3 linked regions of the Struthio camelus genome follow. The protein of the gene in region 3 interacts with the protein of the main gene of each other region in a biochemical or structural test. Links are inferred from orthologs where the notes say so. Each region holds a gene or a part of one and is shown on either strand. Other genes may lie near its edges.

Evidence for each region.
Region 1: the proteins of ARFIP2 (region 3) and ARF5 form a complex in vitro, tested with the Homo sapiens proteins (2 studies listed by BioGRID). The link is inferred for Struthio camelus from reciprocal best matches to the Homo sapiens genes ARFIP2 and ARF5.
Region 2: the proteins of ARFIP2 (region 3) and ARF6 form a complex in vitro, tested with the Homo sapiens proteins (2 studies listed by BioGRID). The link is inferred for Struthio camelus from reciprocal best matches to the Homo sapiens genes ARFIP2 and ARF6.

Annotation. Positions count from the first base shown.
Region 1 is NC_090942.1:1,068,308-1,075,435, reverse strand, and holds the start of ARF5 (ADP-ribosylation factor 5), read right to left. Parts: upstream 3,047-7,128; 5' UTR 2,949-3,046; coding exon 2,882-2,948; intron 2,809-2,881; coding exon 2,728-2,808; intron 640-2,727; coding exon 530-639; intron 1-529. Other genes in the region: GCC1 (GRIP and coiled-coil domain-containing protein 1), read left to right, coding at 4,413-5,459.
Region 2 is NC_090946.1:81,169,558-81,176,525, forward strand, and holds the start of ARF6 (ADP-ribosylation factor 6), read right to left. Parts: upstream 3,052-6,968; 5' UTR 2,868-3,051; coding exon 2,340-2,867; 3' UTR 1-2,339. UniProt on the Homo sapiens protein: GTP-binding protein involved in protein trafficking that regulates endocytic recycling and cytoskeleton remodeling. GTP-bound form plays an important role in the transport of multiple palmitoylated proteins form the Golgi to the plasma membrane.
Region 3 is NC_090942.1:225,141,432-225,149,498, forward strand, and holds the start of ARFIP2 (arfaptin-2), read right to left. Parts: upstream 3,047-8,067; 5' UTR 2,928-3,046; intron 1-2,927. Other genes in the region: TIMM10B (mitochondrial import inner membrane translocase subunit Tim10 B), read left to right, coding at 3,228-3,263, 3,949-4,044, 4,215-4,484. UniProt on the Homo sapiens protein: Plays a role in constitutive metalloproteinase (MMP) secretion from the trans Golgi network. May have important functions during vesicle biogenesis at certain cargo subdomains, which could be predominantly utilized by secreted MMPs, such as MMP7 and MMP2.

The sequences.
Region 1 (7,128 bases), about 220 Mb from region 3:
GACACTTCTCTTCCTGCTAAGGAGCTGAGGGAAATATCCAGATACAGTCCTTAGGGACCCATCTGGCTCACTGCACTGGGAGCCAGGAATTATTTCCTGCAGCCACTCACACGCTCAGTTCAGGCAGGATCATGCCAGAAGCTCCAAGGGACCACAGGCTGCTGGGACCCTGCATCGCTACAAGTCATGAAGTTCAACCAAGCACTATCCCAGATTTCCTCTAATCCCAAAGCACATGCCTGCACACGAGGGAACGAGAGTGACTTCAGCCGAGCTCCCTGCTCAGTTCCTCGTTAGGAGGAAGAAAGCCTGCCACCAGCCACTCGAGGACCAGAGGTGACGATGAGCTTCGACCTTTCCCCACGCAATGCCCTCTTTTGCTAAGAGGGGAGCAGGTTCATCCCACCGACCAGAACAGCGTTTGTTGCAGATGTGGGGGCCCATGACCCTTCGCCCCCCCAGCAGCACAGAGGCCTGAAGGGGTCCCCATGCAACAGCCACATCCACCGTGGCCTGCGGCGGCACGTACCTGCGTGTTCTGGAAGTAGTGCCTCCACAGGGGGCGGATTTTGTCCTGGCCACCCACATCCCAGACCGTGAAGCAGATGTTCTTGTACTCCACTGTCTCCACGTTGAACCCTGCAGGGGTGGCAGGAAGGGCAAGAAGTGACAGCACACACACTGTCAATCCTGCTGGCAGCCTCAGGGCTCTCAGACCACAGGCAAGAGACACAGGAGGCAGCAGCCCTAGTCTGATCAAACTCTGTGTTTCTGAGCTGCGGGACAGAGAATCGCACAGGGAGATGATGCAGCATCAGGCATACAACACCCACTGGTGTCTCAGGAGTGCAGGAAGGGAGACCAAGGTGCACTGCTGCATTCATCTGCCACCAATCCCCAGGGAGCATCTCTACCCCCAGCACCGCACTGTTAACACAATTCGGCTGTGCAGAGGGTCTAGGAAACACATGCTGCAGAGCTTCCTGCCCTCAGCCTGCTCACTCTGCAAGCTGAGCATCCCCACGCTCACAAGCATTGCCCAGCAAGTCTATCCTGGCCCTGCCAGCTCTCCAGGACCAGCACTGCATGATTTCACCAGCCAGCCCCTGGGAACATCCCCTTGAAAACCTCAGCAGCCCAGATGTGGCTGATACTCATGTACCAAAAATCACAGAACAGTTGGGGTTGAGAAGAGCCTCTGGAGATCATCTAGTCCAATCCCCAACTCAAGCAGGGTCATGTAGAACACATTGCACAGGATCGTGTCCAGGTGGATTTTGAATATCTCCAAGGATGGAGACTCCACAACCTCTCTGGGCAATCTGTTCCAGTGCTCAGTCACCCTCACAGTGAAGGAGTGTTTTCTTGTGTTCAAGTGGAAATTCCTGTGTTTCAGCTTGCGCCCACTGCCTCTTATCCTGTCACCGGGCACAACTGAGAAGAGTCTGGCACATCTTCTTAACATCTTACCTTCAGCTCTTTAGTCACACGAATAAGACACCACCCTGAGTCTTCTCTTCTCCAGGCTGAAGAGTCCCAGCTCTCTCAGCCTTTCTTAATATGACAGATGCTCCAGTTCCTTCATCATCTCTGTGGTCCTTTGCTGGACATGCTCCAGCAGGTCCATGCCTCTCTGTCCTGAGGAGCCCAGACCTGGACTCGGCACTCCAGGTGTGGCCTCACCAGGGCTGAGCAGAGGGGAAGGATCACCTCCCTCGACCTGCTAGCAACGCTCTGCCTAATGCAACCCAGGAGGCCACTGGCCACCTTTGCTGTAAGAGTATGTTGCTGACCCATGTTCAACTTGTTGTCCCACCAGGACCACCTAGGCCTTCTCTGCAAGGCTGCTCTGCAGCCAGTTGGCTGCAGACCCCAGCTTGTCCTGGTGTCTGGAGTTATTGCTCCCCAGGGGCAGGACTCTGCCCTTCCCTGTGTTGAACTTCATGAGGTTCCTCTCTGCCCATCTCTCCAGCCTCTTGAGGCCCCTCTGGGGTATCAGCCACTCCTCCCCCTTTTGCATTGTCTACAAACTTGCTGAGGGTGCGTTCGGTCCCACCACCCAGGTCATTAACGAAGGTGTTAAAGAGTGTTGGCCCCAGTATGGACCCCTGGGGCGCACCACTCGTGACCGGCCTCCAGGTGGACTTTGTGCTACTCATCATAACCCTCTGAGCCCAGCAGTTTAGCCAGATTTCAGTTGACTTAGTTAGCGTGTCCTTCACCAGTTTGTCTGAGATGTTATGGGAGACAGCGTTGAAAGCCTCCCTAAAGGCTTTCCACCCGTGCGCCGGCAGGAACAACAACCTGTCCTGCCTTTAGAGCTCGGGCAGGCTCTGAAAACAGCACGTGGCGGCCTCCTCGCCAAGCGAAGTGCCTTTGAACCAGACCGAAGCAAGATCACGCTGACGTAAGGGCTTCAGTTCAGCGCTTGCCAACACAAGGCAGATGAGGAGCCGCAAACCAAGCTGCGCGAGCGCAAGGTGGCCCACAAGCCAACCCTGCTCGCCGAGCGAGGCGGCGCGCCCGGCAAGGCTGCAAAGGCGGGAGGCGGCAGGCGCTGCCGAGGCCCCCGGCCTCCGCGCGGTAGGGCCGCTCGACCGCGCCGGGCCAGGACCACCCTCCCAGCCGGCCGGCAGCCCCCGGCACGCGGACGGGGCACCGGGCCGGCGACGCCAGCCGCGTCCAGGGCCGGGGGCGGCCGGGGGCGGCCCGGCGGCGGCCACTCACCGATGGTGGGGATGGTGGTGACGATCTCGCCCAGCTTCAGCTTGTAGAGGATGGTGGTCTTGCCGGCGGCGTCCAGCCCCACTGCAACAGAGAGGCGGCGGTCACCGGTGCCCCCAGGCCCGGCCCCGGCCCGCCGCCCGCCCCCGCCGCTCACCCATGAGGATCCGCATCTGCTTCTTGCCGAAGATGCGGGAGAAGATGGCGGACACCGTGAGGCCCATGGCGGCGGCGGCGGCGGCGGCGGCGGCGGGAGGGGAGGGACGCGACGGCCCCGCTGCCTCGGCGCTCCGCCGCGCCGCGCCACGCCCCCTCGCCGCCAGGCCCCGCCCCCTCCCCGCCAGACCCCGCCCCCTCCCCGCCCTCACTTAGCTAGACCCCGCCCCCTCTTAGCCAGGCCCCGCCCGCTCCCTGCGCCCCCGCGCCGCCCGGGCCCGCCTCCTGCCCCTCGGGCCCGCCCCCCCGGCCGCCACGCCCCCTTGGACGAAGCCCCGCCCCCTCGGCCTCATCCCTGCCTTACGGCGCCCCGCCGGAGAAGCCCCGCCCCCGGGGTTATTTAGGCCCGCCCCTCGCCGTGACACGCCTCCATGGGCCTCGCCCCTTCCCTCTGACGCGCGCGCGCGCGCGCACCCCCCCCCCGCTCCCGTCCCCACGGAAGCCCCGCCCACTTCCGCCCCCGCCCCTGCTGCCGATGGCGTATTGGCCCCCCCGGGGGGCGGGGCTGCGCCTGCGCATTGAAGCCCATTGGCTCCGCGGGCGGCGCTCGCGGCGCGTCTGTGGCGTGTCGCCCCCATGTGCGCATGCCCCGGGGGAGGGGGGGGGGAGGGGGAATCTCACCCCGGCGGATTGTGACGGGCGCCCCGCCAGGCGCCGCCCTCGCGCCTCGGTGCGGTTCGCGCCTGCGCAGTCCGATCTCCCGGGAGGGGGTGGAGGAGGCGGGGGGGGAAAAAAAACGGCGGTCTGGCGCGTGCGCACTGAGCCGCGGCGGGCGGCGGGGGGGGGGGCTCCGCGCCTGCGCAGTGGAGGCTGCGACCCGCCGGCCTGCAGGTGAGGCCCGGGCGGCGGCGGCGGCGCGGGCCGGGAGCGGGAGGGGGGGTTTGGGGACGCCCCCGGCGGCCCGTCGCTGCCCTCTCTCCTGCCCCGATGCCTCCCCCAGCCCCGGCGGCCCGGGAGAGGCCCCCTTGGTAGGGCTCCGGGCTGGCGGTGCGCGGCTGGGCCCTCCCCCCCCCCCCCGGTGGGGCCCGGTGACAGGACGAGAGGCAGCGGGCCCCGGCTGAAGCCCAGGAAGCTCTGTCTGAGCATGAGGAAAAACTTCTTCAGCGCGAGGGTGACAGAGCACCGGCACAGGTTGCCCAGAGCGGTTGTGGAGCCTCCCTCCTTGGAGATGTTCCAAAACCCACCTGGACGCGATCCTGGGCAACGTGCTCTCGGTGACCCTGCTTGAGCAGGGGGTTGGACCAGCCGGTCTCCAGAGGTCCTTGCCCACCTCAACCCTTCTGCGGCCTAACAGCAGCCCAGTATGTTTCTTAGGCTGTTCTGTTACAGGGTCATTAACTGGTGTCCCAGGGGGAGTCCAGCATGCTGGTCCTGATGAGCAACCTGCTCCTGTTAATCATAAATATGTCTTTGCTCTTTGTTTAGCCTGTGCACTGGTTTTCTCCTTCTCGTTTCAGATCGCACAGGGCATCATGGAGAAGTTTGGCATGAACTTCGGAGGTGGCCCAAGTAAAAAAGATCTTCTAGAAACTATTGAATCTCAGAAAAAGCAGCTTCTTCAGTACCAGGCTCGGCTGAAGGATGTTGTCAGAGCCTACAAGAGCTTGCTCAAAGAAAAGGAGGCCTTGGAAGCTAGCTTGAAAGTATTGTCCGTGTCTCATGAGGCAGATGTTGGCTTGAGTGGAGCTCACCCTGCGTCTGTGGCAAGCTCCAGCTCTTCCTTTGCCGATTCTGCTGATGACAGGAGTTCTGTTCACAGTGAGGATAGCGTGGGGACAGCCACCAGTGCAGACACGGCTGCCAGTCTGGCCAGTACCAAAGCTGAACCAGGAGCTGAGGATGATAAGCCTGCGGCCACTGCCTCCTCTCTTAAATCAGAGGAGACAAGCGGTTCAGAGAGCGGCATCAGCACAAACAGCGGAGATGTGCCATCATCTGCTGGTGAGGCTGATAAAAGAGTGCTCCAGCTGAAGACTCAGCTGGCCACCTTGACCAGTGCTCTGTCCACAGTCACACAGGAGAAATCTCGCATGGAAGCTTCATACCAAGCAGACAAGAAGAAGATGAAACAAGACCTGGATGATGCCGTTAAGAAAGCAGAGGATGAGAGGGACAAGTTGGAGACCGAGCTGAAGTCTGTCCAGGAACAGTTAGCAGAGACCAAAGCCCGTCTGATCACACAGCAGCATGACCGAGCCCAAGAACAGGGTGACCACGCTGTTATGCTGCGAGAGCTGCAGAAGCTGCTCCAGACTGAGAGGACTTCACGCCAGGACGTAGAGCTAAAGCTAGAGGAGACCAGGGAGCTGTTGGCTGGGAGGGTATGCCTGGCTGACCGTGCGGAGGGGTATGAACTGCAGATCAAGCAGCTGAGCCAGGAGGTAGAAGACCTGAAAAAAGAGTTGCAAACTGTGCAGGAAGAGAGCAACAAACCAGACCCACGGATACAGGATCTGCAGGAGGAGATGGCCAGTCTCAAGAATCACTTCCAAGTGCAGCTATTGCAAGAGATGAGAAAGGTAATTCCCTGGCTGTGTGCTTGAGCAGCTTACTCTGCGGGACATAGCAGCAGCAGTCAGGGGGCAGGGTTTGACTGGAGTGGCGGCACAATTTCCCTTCCCTGTCCAAGAAGTTTGAAATAAGTAAGAACATCATGGCTTTATTTGATGAGACGGTATTCCCTGAGGAAAATAAAGGCTGTTTGTGGTTCAGTGTGTAAGTCATACTATGCAGGGGCTAATGACCATGGGCGTTGGGAGCAGCCTTTATGAGGTGCTTGGGCTGTGGCTATCCTCTAGAGCGTCATTAGGTTCTGAACACGTTATCATCTGGTGTGATAGTGGCTGGGATGGGAGGAGAGACCTTTGCTTTGACTCACTGTGGCAATGAATGTGCTCTTGTCCTTGTAAAGTATTTAAGGGCAATGCAAGGTACAACTACTGTAGCTCATAAAAGGAAATAACTTCTAATGCAATGTTCTGTAAATCGGTAGGACTTTCCCCGGATGAGTGTGGAGATAATTGTGAAATAAGGCCTCTCATGCCTTCGTCTTCAGGGCCTGCACTACTTGCTTGTTGAAGTCATGAAACCATCTTTCCCTTTTCCTATTCTACAGCATGGCAGATGAGAGATTTCTGTGAATTTCACAGCTGCTGTGACAAAAGCTATCAAACTGCAGAGGTTCTTGTCTGATCCATTGTGAAAGATGCTGTGCAGCTAAAGGTGACAGCCCATCCGTGCTGATGGGAACAACATAAACTGGTTTGGCTAGCGTAAGCCCAGGGAGCTTCGTGGCCTGTGCTATTGAAGGGCCTGGGGTTACTTTTCAGTGAAGTTTGAAGAGCTCTGGGGAAAGAAGAAAGGTAAATATGAGAAAAAGGCTCTTGCCTGCATGCATGTGGGGAGAGAAAAGAGCTAGAACAAGGGATGTGATGTAAAAGAGGAACCTGTGTAACTCTGTGGGTTGTGGGGCAACGTGCTCAGGAGATGGCACCAGTAACTGAATTTGCAGCCGGAAGCACTCCAGAATGGTATCCTCCTCATCCCTCGGCGTGGAACACGTTTTCTCCTTTCTAATCTGAAGGGTCTAATTAGGGACTAGGCTGATTTCACGCTATTTGCCTCTTTTTGGACGGTATCTGCAACACGTTCTCTGACAGAGGTGACAATGATCTGACCCCAGTTATGCTTTAATTCGTGATGGTCAGTCAAGTGCTGCCATTCAAATTTTCTATTAGACAGTTGGCTCTCGATAGCCATAAAAACTGTGAGCACCAGGTGTTTGTTGTAGTTACTCAGGAACCACTGAATTATGTTAATACCAGTGCAACAAAGCATAGCATTTAAATAAATTGTAGTTTGAGATATGAGAGTTTTAAAGCACGTGCATGTTTTTAAACATCCTATGTCAGACTGTGACATGAATTTGCTTTTTCCTACCCCCCACCAACCTGTAGCAATACAGATAACACTGCTGACAGGAATTCTGTTGGAGGACTGGGAGTAAAAACAAAAATGCCTTTGGTTTCTTTTATCCTTGAATCTCCCTTTTCAATACGGGCAAGTCAGCGTAGTGGCTTGTACAGGATTTTAGGGGAAAGGATGGCTCAGCCCTTGCCTGGAATTCATCAGAGCAGAATTAAGCCCCTGGGTAAACTGCAGACCTCCTGCAGAGAGTGTTGAGGTAAT
Region 2 (6,968 bases), on a different chromosome or scaffold from region 3:
GATTTAAGAAAGTTCAAGAACCATTAATAGACCTTCAAGTTTTCCAGTTTAGGCATTTACTTTGTGCTTGGCTATTTTATTTATGCTCCAGAAGAAAACAATAACCATATTCTTATATTTTTAGTCTTTATACTACCACGCTATTTGTTAAGTTACATCAACAGAAAAAAGAATTCTTACGCTTATAAAAAAAAAAAAACCCTAGAAAATAGAGCAATGATATTCCAATGGCAAAAAGACTTAAGTGAAAAGCCTCACCTCCTCTTCTTCAGGACTGAGATTTAAGAGCTTTTGTACTGTACATGAAGCTTGTTTTTCCAGACTCTTATCTTTAACTTGCACAGGTTTATAATCAATCAGTGCTCTATCTTCTAGTATCAAGAACCCATTCAATCCCATTTGCAACCCACATCAAGATAAGTCTTCTTTCGGAACCATGCTCTAAGGTAATTTGTAAGTGGTCCAAAGCATACAAATTCAGAAGTGAATTCAGCATTTTTATCTTCCCATATGTCTTTGGTAAGAGCTCCATACACAATGCATTTAGCATGCAGAGTAAACACTGCAGAAATGTAGTGTAATGCCCCAATTTCATGTAAAACTCATAACCTTGGAAAAGGAAGGAAAAAAAAAAAGAAAGCCATTTTCTTCTGGTTTTGTAGCATACATTCCTAGAATTCCCCAATTGAATTTTAACTCCTTGAGGAAATCTGAAGTTAATCCTTAAGGCTGAATAAGAACCAGCTGCTTTACATTTTTTGCACCCAGTATTAATACTTGATTGAGATTTTATACTAATACAAATACTTGCTTTGGGTGGGTTTTTTTTGCCAGTCACATCTGAAAACTGTGACATGGCAAATGAGCTGCTTGCCCTTTAAGAACTAGTTATGGAAGTTTACATTCATAGTCGTCTTCTCACTCTCTCCTCCCGTTCTCATTAATAGTTACTCAATGGGCTTCAGACATCCAACATAGTTCCTTTCATACAGGACTACAGCAACAACATGCTACCGAGACAGATGGCGAAGACTGCAACTATTTGTATGAGTTAAGTCTAGTCTTGCAGAACTAAACCAGTAAGTGATTTCCTCAAAATGGCAATCATTCACATGTCAGAATTACTGAGCTCTGTTAAAGCTTCGCGCTGAACTTGCCCATTCGGGAGTCTACAAAATGGAAAAATAGGGTTCTGGTTCTCCTTTCTCCAATACATGCATTTCAGAAGTAACGAAAATAAATCCTTTTAAGGTTTAAAAGATGTCTTCAAGTGTCTTGAGATGAAAGCAACTTTTCTTTATCGCAAGACAGTAAAGTCAGTGCTAGATTTTTGCCTAAACGTTTGTGATTTAAATTAAAACTTGTCGCAATGGTTACACGTTATTGCTGCATTTTTTTGGAAGGAACATATCTTGCGTTGAATTGGAGACTGACACAAGTAATAAAAACTGCAGCTAAACATCATTAAGTTTGCAATGCAAGACAAAAACTGAACAGTATATACCCTGGAACTACTACATCATTCATGTTGTATTTGCTATATGGTTGCTATGTAGTATGGGGAACTTACTTGCATCCCTTCTCATGCATGATGTATGGTTCAGAACTTCACAGCTGACATTTCAAAGCAGTTCTTACATTACCTAGTTAACATTATGCCTGATATGCACTTTGAACATATTACAATGGTATTCTCACTATCTGCCACTGTAGGCAAGATTTCGTTTCATTATTAGTCTGAGATATGAAGACAGACTGAGAGTCACTATTTAGTTACAGATTAACAGAACTTTTAAAAAAGTCCTTAATATAAAAAGACAGACTGCAGTTTGATTTTAAGCAATAGTTTTCCGTTTACTAGATGAAGTAGACCTATCAACATATTCTGCATGGATGCAAAAAAGTAGCAATCTACAGCAAGTGATAGAAGAAAAAAACGTAATCAAAAAAGTAGAACCAGAAAGCATACGCTGAAAATGGTACCCCTCCCCCAACCATCCCCCAAAATAATCAAACCATCTTAAAGGCTATCAAGAGGAAAAAAAAAAGTTACTTAGCAAGTCTACAATGTGTCTTTCCCCTGTTTGCTGGAGGTCTGCCATAGCATCTAGTGCTTGTGTTCGTGTCACGTTTGAAGATTAGAGCATCCTAACGCCAAGCAAGGAGAGTTAAAACAGGAATCCAGTCAGTGTGTAGAACGAAAGGGTGGTAACTGGAGAAAGGTGATCATAATCCTATGGATGCTTTTGTTTTACTTTTCAGTAGAGAATCATTCGTCTGGAAAGCCATGTGGGTTATTTTTTTTTTAATTCTTTGTAGACTAAATAGTTATTCTCTCATTAGGATTTATAATTGGATGTTAACCATGTCAGCCCTTCGTAGAGTCCATCCCCTGTAGTAGCACAGGAGGGCTGCACGTACCAATTCCTATCCCTGATTCGGGTCAGGCCCAGTTTCTCCTGGATTTCATGGGGTTTCATGGCATCGGGCAGGTCCTGCTTGTTGGCGAAGATGAGGATGATGGCGTCCCGCATCTCCCTGTCGTTGATGATGCGGTGGAGCTCCTGGCGGGCCTCGTCGATGCGGTCGCGATCGGCGCAGTCCACCACAAAGATCAACCCTTGCGTGCCCGTGTAGTAGTGCCTCCAGAGGGGACGGATCTTGTCCTGGCCCCCGACATCCCACACGTTGAACTTGACGTTTTTGTAAGTCACCGTCTCCACGTTGAAGCCCACGGTGGGGATGGTGGTGACCGACTGGCCCAGCTTCAGTTTGTACAGGATGGTGGTTTTACCGGCCGCGTCCAGACCCAGCATCAGGATCCGCATCTCCTTGTTGCCGAAGATCTTGGACAGCACCTTGCCCATCTCGGCGGCATCCAAGGGGCCCGGCGCCGGCGGGGGGGGGGAGGGGGGGGAAGGGAGAGATGAGGGACGAGCGGCGACGCAGCCGAGCAGCCGGCGCGGGGCGGCGGCCCGGAGCGCAGCGGAGCGGGGCCGGCCCGGCCCGGCGCGTCAGGCCAAGGGCAGGCGGGGCTCAGCGCCGCATGGGCCGGCCGCGGAGGCCGAGACCTGCCGCTGCGGAGCGGGAAGACCGGCCGCGCCGCGCCCCGCTCGCCGGCCGGGCCTGAGGCGGCGACGGCGGCGGCAACGGCTCCGCCCGGCTCTTGCCTTGGCTGCCGCCCCGGCGCCTCAGCTCATGGAGGCCGGCTCAGGGGCGGCGGCTCCGCGTCCTGGCCCGCGCAGGCGGAGGTAGCGGGGCCGCCGGTAGTTACCTCAGGGCCGCCCGCGGGCTGGGGCTGAGGCCGGGGCCGAGGCCGAGGCCGGCTCCGCTGCTGGCCGCGCCGCGCCGCGCCGCTCCCCTCAGGCAGCTGCCCTCGCCGGAAAAGGCGCCGCGCGAGCCCGCCTCACTTCCCCCTCCGCCGCCACTGCGCCTGCGCGCCGCGCCCCCGCCCCCGGCCCCACCCGCCCTGCCCTCTGCGCATGCGCCCGGCCCCCCCTCACAGCGCGGCGGCGGTGGGGGGGGAGCGGGGCAAGCGGCGCCCCGCCCCTTTCCGCCCGCCCCCGCGCGGCCTCGGGAAGGGAACCGCGCGTGCGCCGGGTGCCGTCACGGCGGCCCGCCCCGCGCGCGTCGGAGGGAGCGCGCGCAGACGGAGCACGCCGGCGCAGAAGGGCGGGGCGGCGGCGTAGGAGCGCGCCCGATTTGCCCGCCGCGAGCGCCGCGCGTGCGCCGTCTGCGCACGCCCCGCCGCCCAGCACAGGCGAGGGCGGTACTTCCCGTACTGCTGCGCCTGCGCAGCGGGCCGGGGAGCAACGGGGCGGGGCCGGGACCGGGGCTTGCGGCGTGAGTGCGCATGCGGCAGCCGGAGGGGGCGGGGCGTCTGTGGAGAGAGGCGCCACGCGATCACACGTCAGCACACGACACGCGCAGGACGCCACGGGCGCTTCTTAAAGGGCCCGGAGCGGGGCGGGGGAGGTGGGATGGGTGTCGCTGCCGCTGCTCCTTGCGCGCATGCGCGGGGGCGGGCGCGTGCCCGTGCCCGCCCTGACGGCGGTTGGCGCCAACCGTTGCGCCCGGCCGCCTGCGCTTTGGGGGAGGGGTGATGCGCCTGAGGGGCCCCGCCGTCGCTGCGCGGCCGCCGGTGGCCCTGGCTCCTCGCGGAGGGACAGGTCTCACAGGGCCACCGAGGCGGGAAGGGGCCTCTGGTGCCTGGGGTCCGCCCTGCGCTAGGCCGCCCTAGGGAAAAGGGGCTGACGGGGAGGGGGGCCGGGCTCGTCATCGCCCTGCTCTGCCGTGCCGAGGTTGGCAAAAGGTTTAGGCCACCTTGTGGGAAGGGCTTTCTGAGGGAAGCCATCTGCGGGGGGAGCCTGTGCGGTCCCTTCTTGAGGTTTTAGGGTCACGCGCTTTGGAGCTCAGACAGAAGCCTGTGGAGTATGATCCAGAGTGCTTGAGCTGGGCTCATGCATGGTGCTGGACTAACTAATCCCTTAAGGTGTCGTCCAGTCTGCTGTTTTCTGTAATGCCGTAGCTGGAACATCAGACTGGCCCTCAGGGTCTCGACTCATTGCCTGCTAATGGAAGAGCAAAGCTGAACGCAGTGTTGGAGCCTCACAGGGAAGCTCAAATCCCGTGGTTGTGTCCCAAATCAATTACACTGAGGGTGCTCAGGCAACATACAGAAGAGGGATCCTGGCTAGGCCGCTCACTTGACCTGTGTGGTGGCGTAGAGCTGGTGGTATATTAGCTCCTGAATGATGCCCAGACGTAGCAAACGCCAACACTGGCCTTGGCAGGTGTTGGAAAAATTAACGTAGGTATGTTGAATGAATCGCTGTTAAAAATCTGTTAGTTGGGGGGAAGAAAGCAGGTCTCATCTGAGCACAGCACAAGCTGTATTTTCTTTAAGAAGAGGAAGTGCCAATGAAGGGCTTGCTGGAAAGGGAAGAAGGTGGCAGACTGGAGAAAGGAAGTGGGAAGTTGGGAGGCAGTGACTTTAGGGACATTATGAAGACTGTGTAGTGTCCGGTAGTTGGCAGGAGCAGTAGAGCAGGGGCAGGGAACAGACTGAAATGTGGGCGTGGAAGGGGCTTGAGCCCTTGTGTAGCTCTGAGTGGTCCTGCCTGACCCCTATGAGCCTGACCTATATGAGCCATAACTGAAAGGGTCATCATACTTAAATCTTTGAAAACCACAGAATATAAATTTGATGTTTGCCTTTTTTTTGTTTTTTAAGGCCTTGAGGAGGGCGGGCTGGCCCGGAAGGTACGTGCTGTATATTGAAAGACGTCACAGGATATGAAACCAAGAACAGTCCTACGCCCAGTCAGCTACTGCCTGCGTTATACATCAGAGTGTTAGACATGGCTGTATGGTTAGGAGCAGCTTTTTTGTGCCCTGGCTCGTGCCAAGCCAGTGGCTTCACAGGCTTGGGAAGAAGACAAGCAGGAGCACATAACTTCTGCAATATAAAAAAGCCTACATTTGACAGCACAAACCACATTTGCAGTATCACTAGCCTTGATGCAAGATGCTTGAGGATATGAGCACAACTCCCCCACTACCATGACAAGATTACAGGAGGAGTAAGGAGGAGGCTGCAGAAGCACGTCTCCCCCCATACCTACACCAGGAGTCAGGATGTCTCGGCTGCAGCCATGCCTGTAGCCTATGGGGGTGAGCCCTCCCCAGTGTTCTCCAAAAAGAATCTCCCCTGTTTTAAAACAAAACAACTTGGGATGTGTAGTGGCAGAAAGGGTTAAGGCTCTTTGGTGGGTGGTGTCTTGGGTCACTCCAGATAACTAGGATCAGTGGAACTTAAACCGTGGCTAACCAACCAGGAAATAAAGTGTTCAAATACCTGGCCACATTCCTCCACTGCCTTCCCTGGGAGCTGTGCCCCACTGTGCACCCTGCACGGTGCAAAACGGCTCCTGCTGCACGTACTTCACAGCCACACGTTGGGCCAGTTTCACAGACAGAAACCCCTGCCGTATGTCGCAACCCCGCCAGGCTGGGCTGCCGGTGACTAGGTGGCGAGGCCGGTACGCCAGGACTCACCGCCCCTGCACGGGGCAGCCCTGTGCTTCCTCGTATGCTCTTAGTCACCATGGGGCTGGTCCTCACCTGGTGATTGCAGGGCAGGCGTGCTGGAGCAGGGCCTGCCTGCGCAGGGCGTTAGCCCGCTTTGTGCTGGCAGGGCCTGCGGGGAGGAAGGCAGTGGGAAATGCAGCCTGTGTTGGTAGCTGTATGTGAGTCACAGGAGAGGACATGGGAAGGGGGGCCAGGGTACAAACCCGGTGAAATGTCCCCCGTGGTCCCCTTGGCATCAGTCTTCAGGAGGCCAGGCTACGTGGCTGCCTTCCAGCCTGCCCGGAGAGCACAGGTGTGCTTTTACTTGAGATTGCATGTGTAAGAGACTTGACCCTCTGTCAATCCCTCTGTCGCTTCAAAAATAGCAAATCTTTCATTTGGGTTAATTTTTATCACAGCCATATTTTTGCTGTTATGTGGCACATGCAAAGCAATCCCCCTTGGAACAGCAAAGGGGAAATCGTGTGCTCTCTTTGCAGTCTAGAATGAGAACGGGAGATTTCCTAGATTACGGAATTATTAAGGGAATGACAACAACAGTTTCAGAGGAAGCCTTTCTCTTTCATGCATTGAGCAAAGAGGGAGAATGCCAAGGAAAACATACCATCCGTGACCTCTCTTAAGCAGCACGTGCAGGCTGAGCTGAGGGTACGATCTGCTGACATCAGGCCTCACGAGTGTCCCTGAGTGCAACAGGCAGTGCCAGGGTTCATGCTCTGGTCTTTAAAGCAGCAAGTATTATGGCTGAGTACCATACTGCCCTGCAATTTACAGTGAGCCCTACCGATCCCCCTGGATACTGCCAGTTCAGTCTCATCTCTTTAGTAAAGGAAATTTATCTAAATGGAGTTTACTGCCAAGCAGGGCTAAAATTAACA
Region 3 (8,067 bases):
CTCAGGTTGTAGCTCAGAACAGCCCTCAAACAGTGACCATGGCTCCTGCTCCAGAGCCTGCTCCAGAGCAGGGAAACTACAGCTTGGGAAGAGAAACAACTCACAGTCAACTAACGGCAGAGGCAAAGGCAGAGAGCGGACCCAGCAGTCCTGATTGCCCTGCAGCTGTAGGCAGGACGCTCCACCTGGGTGGCACCCACCCCTCGCTGCGGCAGCCAGGGCCTGAGGCCAGGCAGCACCAGGTAAGCACAATGGTTCCAGTCACGCAGGGACCCACCAGCACTGGCACTTGCTCTTTGACAAGAGCTCTATAGATCTGGTCCCATATCAAAAACAGTGGGAGTCACCACTGACCCTAGCAGCAACCCAACACGAACACGCCTTAGCAAGTACAGGGAGCAGGATACGAAGGGCAGAACACGCAACTCCAGCAGTACTCCCTGATCTCTCTGAGCCAAACCTCTACCTGCAACATGGCCTGGGCCCTGGGAAACTCCCAGCCCTGTGGGCTTCCCTTGAGCAGGCAGTCGCTCTGTTCTGGAGGGGCTGCAGCGCCAGGGAAAGACAACACCACCCAACAGCACCTGGCACTGGGCTCTCCCCTGGGTGAATGGGGTGGCCGTGGCCCCACAGACACATCCCCAGCCCCCTCCTGAAGCGGGGCACCATCTCCTGGCCCCAGTGGGCAGCAGGGACAGATGTAACGCGCAGCAGCACCCAGCTGTGGTGCCCTCAGCCGTGCCGCTAGCACAGCGGCCCCCGAGGTCAGCCCTGATTGCCCTGGAGGCACTTGCTGTTTCAGGCAGGCATCTGCCATGCCTTCACGCTGCAGTTCCCAGCACGGAGCCCCACGCACCAGCGGTGCACACAACCCCACCACTCCCCCACCCGCACCCCCTGTCCACAGGCACCCAGCGCCCCCCGCTCCCCCACCCGCACCCCCTGTCCACAGGCACCCAGCGCCCCCCGCTCCCCCTGTCCACGGGCACACAGCGCCCCCCGCTCCCCCCGCTCCCCCACCCCCTGTCCACGGGCACACAGCGCCCCCCGCTCCCCCACCCCCTGTCCACGGGCACACAGCACCCCCCGCTCCCCCACCCCCTGTCCACGGGCACACAGCACCCCCCGCTCCCCCCACTCCCCCACCCGCACCCCCTGTCCACGGGCACACAGCACCCCCCGCTCCCCCTGTCCACGGGCACCCAGCGCCCCCCGCTCCCCCACCCCCTGTCCACGGGCACACAGCGCCCCCCGCTCCCCCTGTCCACGGGCACACAGCACCCCCCGCTCCCCCACCCGCACCTCCTGTCCACGGGCACACAGCACCCCCCGCTCCCCCCACTCTCCCACCCCGCAGCCCCTGTCCACGGGCACACAGCACCCCCCGCTCCCCCCACTCCCCCACCCCGCAGCCCCTGTCCACGGGCACACAGCGCCCCCCGCTCCCCCACCCGCACCCCCTGTCCACGGGCACACAGCACCCCCCGCTCCCCCTGTCCACGGGCACCCAGCGCCCCCCGCTCCCCCACCCCCTGTCCACGGGCACACAGCGCCCCCCGCTCCCCCTGTCCACGGGCACACAGCACCCCCCGCTCCCCCACCCGCACCTCCTGTCCACGGGCACACAGCACCCCCCGCTCCCCCCACTCTCCCACCCCGCAGCCCCTGTCCACGGGCACACAGCACCCCCCGCTCCCCCCACTCCCCCACCCCGCAGCCCCTGTCCACGGGCACACAGCACCCCCCGCTCCCCCACCCGCACCCCCTGTCCACGGGCACACAGCACCCCCCGCTCCCCCCACTCTCCCACCCCGCAGCCCCTGTCCACGGGCACCCAGCACCCCCCGCTCCCCCCACTCCCCCACCCCGCAGCCCCTGTCCACGGGCACCCAGCACCCCCCGCTCCCCCCACTCTCCCACCCCGCACCCCCTGTCCACGGGCACACAGCACCCCCCGCTCCCCCCACTCTCCCACCCCGCAGCCCCTGTCCACGGGCACACAGCACCCCCCGCTCCCCCCACTCCCCCACCCCGCAGCCCCTGTCCACGGGCATACAGCACCCCCCGCTCCCCCACCCGCACCCCCTGTCCACGGGCACACAGCACCCCCCGCTCCCCCCACTCTCCCACCCCGCAGCCCCTGTCCACGGGCACCCAGCACCCCCCGCTCCCCCCACTCCCCCACCCCGCAGCCCCTGTCCACGGGCACACAGCGCCCCCCGCTCCCCCCACTCCCCCACCCGCAGCCCCTGTCCACGGGCACCCAGCACCCCCCGCTCCCCCCACTCCCCCACCCCGCAGCCCCTGTCCACGGGCACACAGCGCCCCCCGCTCCCCCCACTCCCCCACCCCGCAGCCCCTGTCCACGGGCACACAGCGCCCCCCGCTCCCCCCACTCCCCCACCCGCTCCCCCTGTCCACGGGCACACAGCGCCCCCCGCTCCCCCCGCTCCCCCACCCGCTCCCCCTGTCCACGGGCACACAGCTCCCCCCGCTCCCCCCGCTCCCCCACCCGCACCCCCTGTCCACAGGCACCCAGCGCCCCCCGCTCCCCCTGTCCACGGGCACCCAGCGCCCCCCGCTCCCCCACCCCCTGTCCACGGGCACACAGCGCCCCCCGCTCCCCCCACTCCCCCACCCGCACCCCCCGTCCACGGGCACACAGCGCCCCCCACTCCCCCACCCGCACCCCCTGTCCACGGGCACACAGCGCCCCCCGCTCCCCCCACTCCCCCACCCCCTGTCCACGGGCACACAGCGCCCCCCGCTCCCCCCACTCCCCCCCCCGCACCCCCTGTCCACGAGCACACAGCGCCCCCCGCCCCCAGGTCCCGGCCCCCGGCTCCCCCAGGCCCCAGGCCCCAGGCCCCAGGCCCCAGGCCCCAGGCCCCAGGCCCCAGGCCCAGGCCCCAGGCCCCGCCGCCCACCTGCGCCGCCCCGGCCGCTGCCGGGTCCCCCCGCCCCGGAGGCGCCGGAGCCCCGATCCGCCTCGGCCCCGGCACACACCGGAACCGACGTCACACCCCGGGCAGGGGACGCCGGGAGGCAGGGCGGAAGTGGCGTCACCAGGGGGCGACCGGGAACAGCGCCGGGCGGAACAGGGCCGGAAATGGCCTGATCCCCGGAAGCGGCGGCCCCAAGAGGAACGGCGCTTCCGAAAACACCGGAGGTGACAGGCGCGACCGGAAGTTGTGTCATTGCTCCTGGCCGGAAGTGCCTGTGCGGGCATGGAGCAGAGCGGGGAGCAGCAGCAGCTCCGCAGCGTGAGGGGGGCCGGGGCCGGGGCCGGGGCCGGGGCCGGGGCCGGGTGGGGCCTGGGGCGCTGCGGGGCTGCAGGAGCTCGGCCGGGGGCCCGGGGAGTGGCAAGGCCCAGGGCGCTGGGGGGCTCGGTGGGGCCACGAGATGCTCAGGGGGTTGGTGGGGACCCCGGGGCGCTCGAGTGCTGGGCGGGGACCCCGAGATGCTCAGGGTGTTGGTGGGGACCCCGGGGTTCTCGGGTGCTGGGTGGGGACCCCGAGATGCTCAGGGGGTTGGTGGGGACCCCGGGGCGCTCGAGTGCTGGGCGGGGACCCCGAGATGCTCAGGGGGTTGGTGGGGACCCCGGGGCGCTCGAGTGCTGGGCGGGGACCCCGAGATGCTCAGGGTGTTGGTGGGGACCCCGGGGTGCTCGGGTGCTGGGCGGGGACCCCGAGATGCTCAGGGGGTTGGTGGGGACCCCGGGGCGCTCGGGGGCTCGGTGGGGACCCCGAGATGCTCAGGGGGTTGGTGGGGACCCCGGGGCGCTCGGGGGCTGGGTGGGGACCCCGAGATGCTCAGGGGGTTGGTGGGGACCCCGGGGCGCTCGAGTGCTGGGCGGGGACCCCGAGATGCTCAGGGGGTTGGTGGGGGCCTGGGACACTGGCAGACCCTGAGCAGGGTGAGCGTGCACCAGCGCTGTTGCTCTTCCAGCTGCGGGACTTCCTGCTGGTCTACAACCGGATGACTGAACTCTGCTTCCGGCGCTGCGTCTCCAACCTGAACTACCGCGTGCTCACCAAGCATGAGGTGAGCCCAGCGTTGGGCCTTTCTCGGGCGGCTGGAGCACCGCAGGTCTTGCAGTGCTGGTTTCCTGCTCGCGTCACAGCACTGGATGGGCTGGAGGGGCTGTGGGGAGAGGCAGCGCGTGCCCCTGATGAGGAGCCCGCCTGCCGTGCTGACACCTCGCCATCCTGCAGGAGATGTGCCTGGACAGCTGTGCTGGAAAACTGGTCCACTCCAACCACCGCCTCATGAGTGCCTATGTGGCGCTTATGCCCTCCATTGTGCAGCGCCGTGCCTCGGACTACGAGGCCAGTGCAGCCCAGACGTCTGCAAATTCTGCCAAGGAAGTATCAGTGGCACCGCCTGCCCTCCCAGGTACTGGGGGCCCTGATGCCCAGCCTGACTTGCAGGTGGCTTCTGGCATTGGTGGAGCCACAGAAGGAGCCTCAGATGCTGGCACATAGCACAGCTGTAACTCCTGGGCCCTGCCTTCTCACAGCAGTGGTGGGATGGATGGTTGCAGGCTGGATCTGGGCCCTGTGTTACCAGTGTGAGAAGTAACTTGTGGGCAGTGCAGTGAGATCTGGGCCTCCACACGCTGTTGCTACTGCTAGTCTGGAGCGGTAGAATCCTCTCTGCACCAACACCAGACCTTGCAGGTCCACATCCTCTAATGCATCTGCATTACGAACAGCCTCCTGACATCGGCCACATCCGTTCAGTGTCTGGTGGCGCTGGGGCTGAGACCGACGGCTGGCACTGAAGGCAGTAAGGGAGAAAACTAGTGCTGCGGTTCTGGCCAAGAGGGCTCTTAGCTGAACTCTTTTGTCTTAACAACAAAGCTCCTTTGGTGCTGCAGAGTTGGAGCTTTTCTACTGCTGGGAAGGTGTTTCCCGGTCCTAATAAAAGAGTCATCGCGAATGTCGGGCTGTGGGCGTGCGGCGGGGCGAGCAGACCTCGAGCGCTGGCGCGCTGCGCCCGGCGGGGGGGACGGTCCCTGCCGCAGGGGCGGGGCGGGGGCTGCGCGCCCGGCCCCCTCCTCTGTCCCCGCCTCGGCCCGTGGTGTCGAAGAAGGGGCGGGGCCAGGCGCAGGGCGGAGCCCGCGGGGTGGGGCAAGGGGCGGGGCAGAGCCTGCGGGGTGGGGTCTGCGGGGGCGGAGCCCGTGGGCGCTAGGGTGGGGGTGGGGCAGGGCCAGGCGCAGGGCGGAGCCTGTGGGGGTGGGGCCAGGGGCGGAGCCCGTGGGCGCTGGGGTGGGGCGGGGCCTGCGGGGGCGGGGACAGGTGCAGGGCAGAGGCTGCCGGGCCGGGGCGGGGCACAGGGCGGAGCCTGTGGCCCAGGGGCGGGGTTAGGCGCGAGGCGGAGCTGGCAGGGGCGGGGCGGGGCGCGGGGAGGAGCTCATGGGTCGGGGCGGGGCCTCCCCGTGCGGCTCCCCGGCGACGGCGGCCGGCGGGGGCTGAGGTGCGCCGGGCTGGGCCGCGCTGGGCCCCGAGAGTCTGTCCCCCGGGGACGGTGTCCCTGGCCGCCTTCGTCAGCAGCCAGGCCGTGTCCCGTGTCCCTCCTGTGTCCCTTGGCGGCCAGGCCGTGTCCCGTGTCCCTCCTGTGTCCCTCGGCGGCCAGGCCGTGTCCCGTGTCCCTCCAGTGTCCCTTGGCGGCCAGGCCGTGTCCCGTGTCCCTCCTGTGTCCCTCGGCGGCCAGGCCGTGTCCCATATCCCTCCTGTGTCCCTCGGCGGCCAGGCCGTGTCCCGTGTCCCTCCTGTGTCCCTCGGCGGCCAGGCCACGTCCCGTGTCCCTCCTGTGTCCCTCGGCGGCCAGGCCGTGTCCCATATCCCTCCTGTGTCCCTCGGCGGCCAGGCCGTGTCCCATATCCCTCCTGTGTCCCTTGGCGGCCAGGCCGTGTCCCATATCCCTCCTGTGTCCCTCGGCGGCCAGGCCGTGTCCCGTGTCCCTCCTGTGTCCCTTGGCGGCCAGGCCGTGTCCCATATCCCTCCTGTGTCCCTTGGCGGCCAGGCCACGTCCCGTGTCCCTCCTGTGTCCCTCGGCGGCCAGGCCGTGTCCCGTGTCCCTCCTGTGTCCCTCGGCGGCCAGGCCGTGTCCCGTGTCCCTCCTGTGTCCCTTGGCGGCCAGGCCGTGTCCCATACCCCTCCTGTGTCCCTCGGCGGCCAGGCCGTGTCCCGTGTCCCTCCAGTGTCCCTCGGCGGCCAGGCCGTGTCCCATATCCCTCCTGTGTCCCTCGGCGGCCAGGCCGTGTCCCATATCCCTCCTGTGTCCCTTGGCGGCCAGGCCGTGTCCCATATCCCTCCTGTGTCCCTCGGCGGCCAGGCCGTGTCCCGTGTCCCTCCTGTGTCCCTTGGCGGCCAGGCCGTGTCCCATATCCCTCCTGTGTCCCTCGGCGGCCAGGCCGTGTCCCGTGTCCCTCCTGTGTCCCTCGGCGGCCAGGCCGTGTCCCGTGTCCCTCCTGTGTCCCTTGGCGGCCAGGCCGTGTCCCATACCCCTCCTGTGTCCCTCGGCGGCCAGGCCGTGTCCCGTGTCCCTCCAGTGTCCCTCGGCGGCCAGGCCGTGTCCCGTGTCCCTCCTGTGTCCCTCGGCGGCCAGGCCGTGTCCCATATCCCTCCTGTGTCCCTCGGCGGCCAGGCCGTGTCCCGTGTCCCTCCTGTGTCCCTCGGCGGCCAGGCCACGTCCCGTGTCCCTCCTGTGTCCCTCGGCGGCCAGGCCGTGTCCCATATCCCTCCTGTGTCCCTCGGCGGCCAGGCCGTGTCCCATATCCCTCCTGTGTCCCTTGGCGGCCAGGCCATGTCCCGTGTCCCTCCTGTGTCCCTCGGCGGCCAGGCCGTGTCCCGTGTCCCTCCTGTGTCCCTTGGCGGCCAGGCCGTGTCCCGTGTCCCTCCTGTGTCCCTCGGCGGCCAGGCCACGTCCCGTGTCCCTCCTGTGTCCCTCGGCGGCCAGGCCGTGTCCCATATCCCTCCTGTGTCCCTTGGCGGCCAGGCCGTGTCCCATATCCCTCCTGTGTCCCTCGGCGGCCAGGCCGTGTCCCGTGTCCCTCCTGTGTCCCTCGGCGGCCAGGCCGTGTCCCGTGTCCCTCCTGTGTCCCTTGGCGGCCAGGCCGTGTCCCATATCCCTCCTGTGTCCCTCGGCGGCCAGGCCGTGTCCCGTGTCCCTCCTGTGTCCCTTGGCGGCCAGGCCGTGTCCCATACCCCTCCTGTGTCCCTCGGCGGCCAGGCCACGTCCCGTGTCCCTCCTGTGTCCCTCGGCGGCCAGGCCGTGTCCCGTGTCCCTCCTGTGTCCCTTGGCGGCCAGGCCGTGTCCCATATCCCTCCTGTGTCCCTCGGCGGCCAGGCCGTGTCCCGTGTCCCTCCTGTGTCCCTTGGCGGCCAGGCCGTGTCCCATATCCCTCCTGTGTCCCTCGGCGGCCAGGCCGTGTCCCGTGTCCCTCCTGTGTCCCTTGGCGGCCAGGCCGTGTCCCATATCCCTCCTGTGTCCCTCGGCGGCCAGGCCGTGTCCCGTGTCCCTCCTGTGTCCCTCGGCGGCCAGGCCGTGTCCCGTGTCCCTCCTATGTCCCTCGGCGGCCAGGCCACGTCCCGTGTCCCTCCTGTGTCCCTCGGCGGCCAGGCCGTGTCCCGTGACCCTCCTGTGTCCCTCGGCGGCCAGGCCGTGTCCCATATCCCTCCTATGTCCCTTGGCGGCCAGGCCACGTCCCGTGTCCCTCCTGTGTCCCTTGGCGGCCAGGCCGTGTCCCGTGTCCCTCCTATGTCCCTTGGCGGCCAGGCCACGTCCCGTGTCCCTCCTGTGTCCCTTGGCGGCCAGGCCGTGTCCCTCCTGTGTCCCTTGGTGGCCAGGCCACGTCCCGCGTCCCTCCTGTGTCCATTGGTGGCCAGGCCGTGTCCTGTGTCCTGACGGGGCAGGCTGTGTCCCATGTCCCTCCTATGTCCCTTGGCAGCGAGGCCGCGTCCCATGTCCATCGGCAGCCAGGCCATGTCCCGTGTCCTGGCAGGGTGGACTGTGTCCCGTGTCCCTCCTATGTCCGTTGGTGACCAGGCCGTGTTCCGTGTC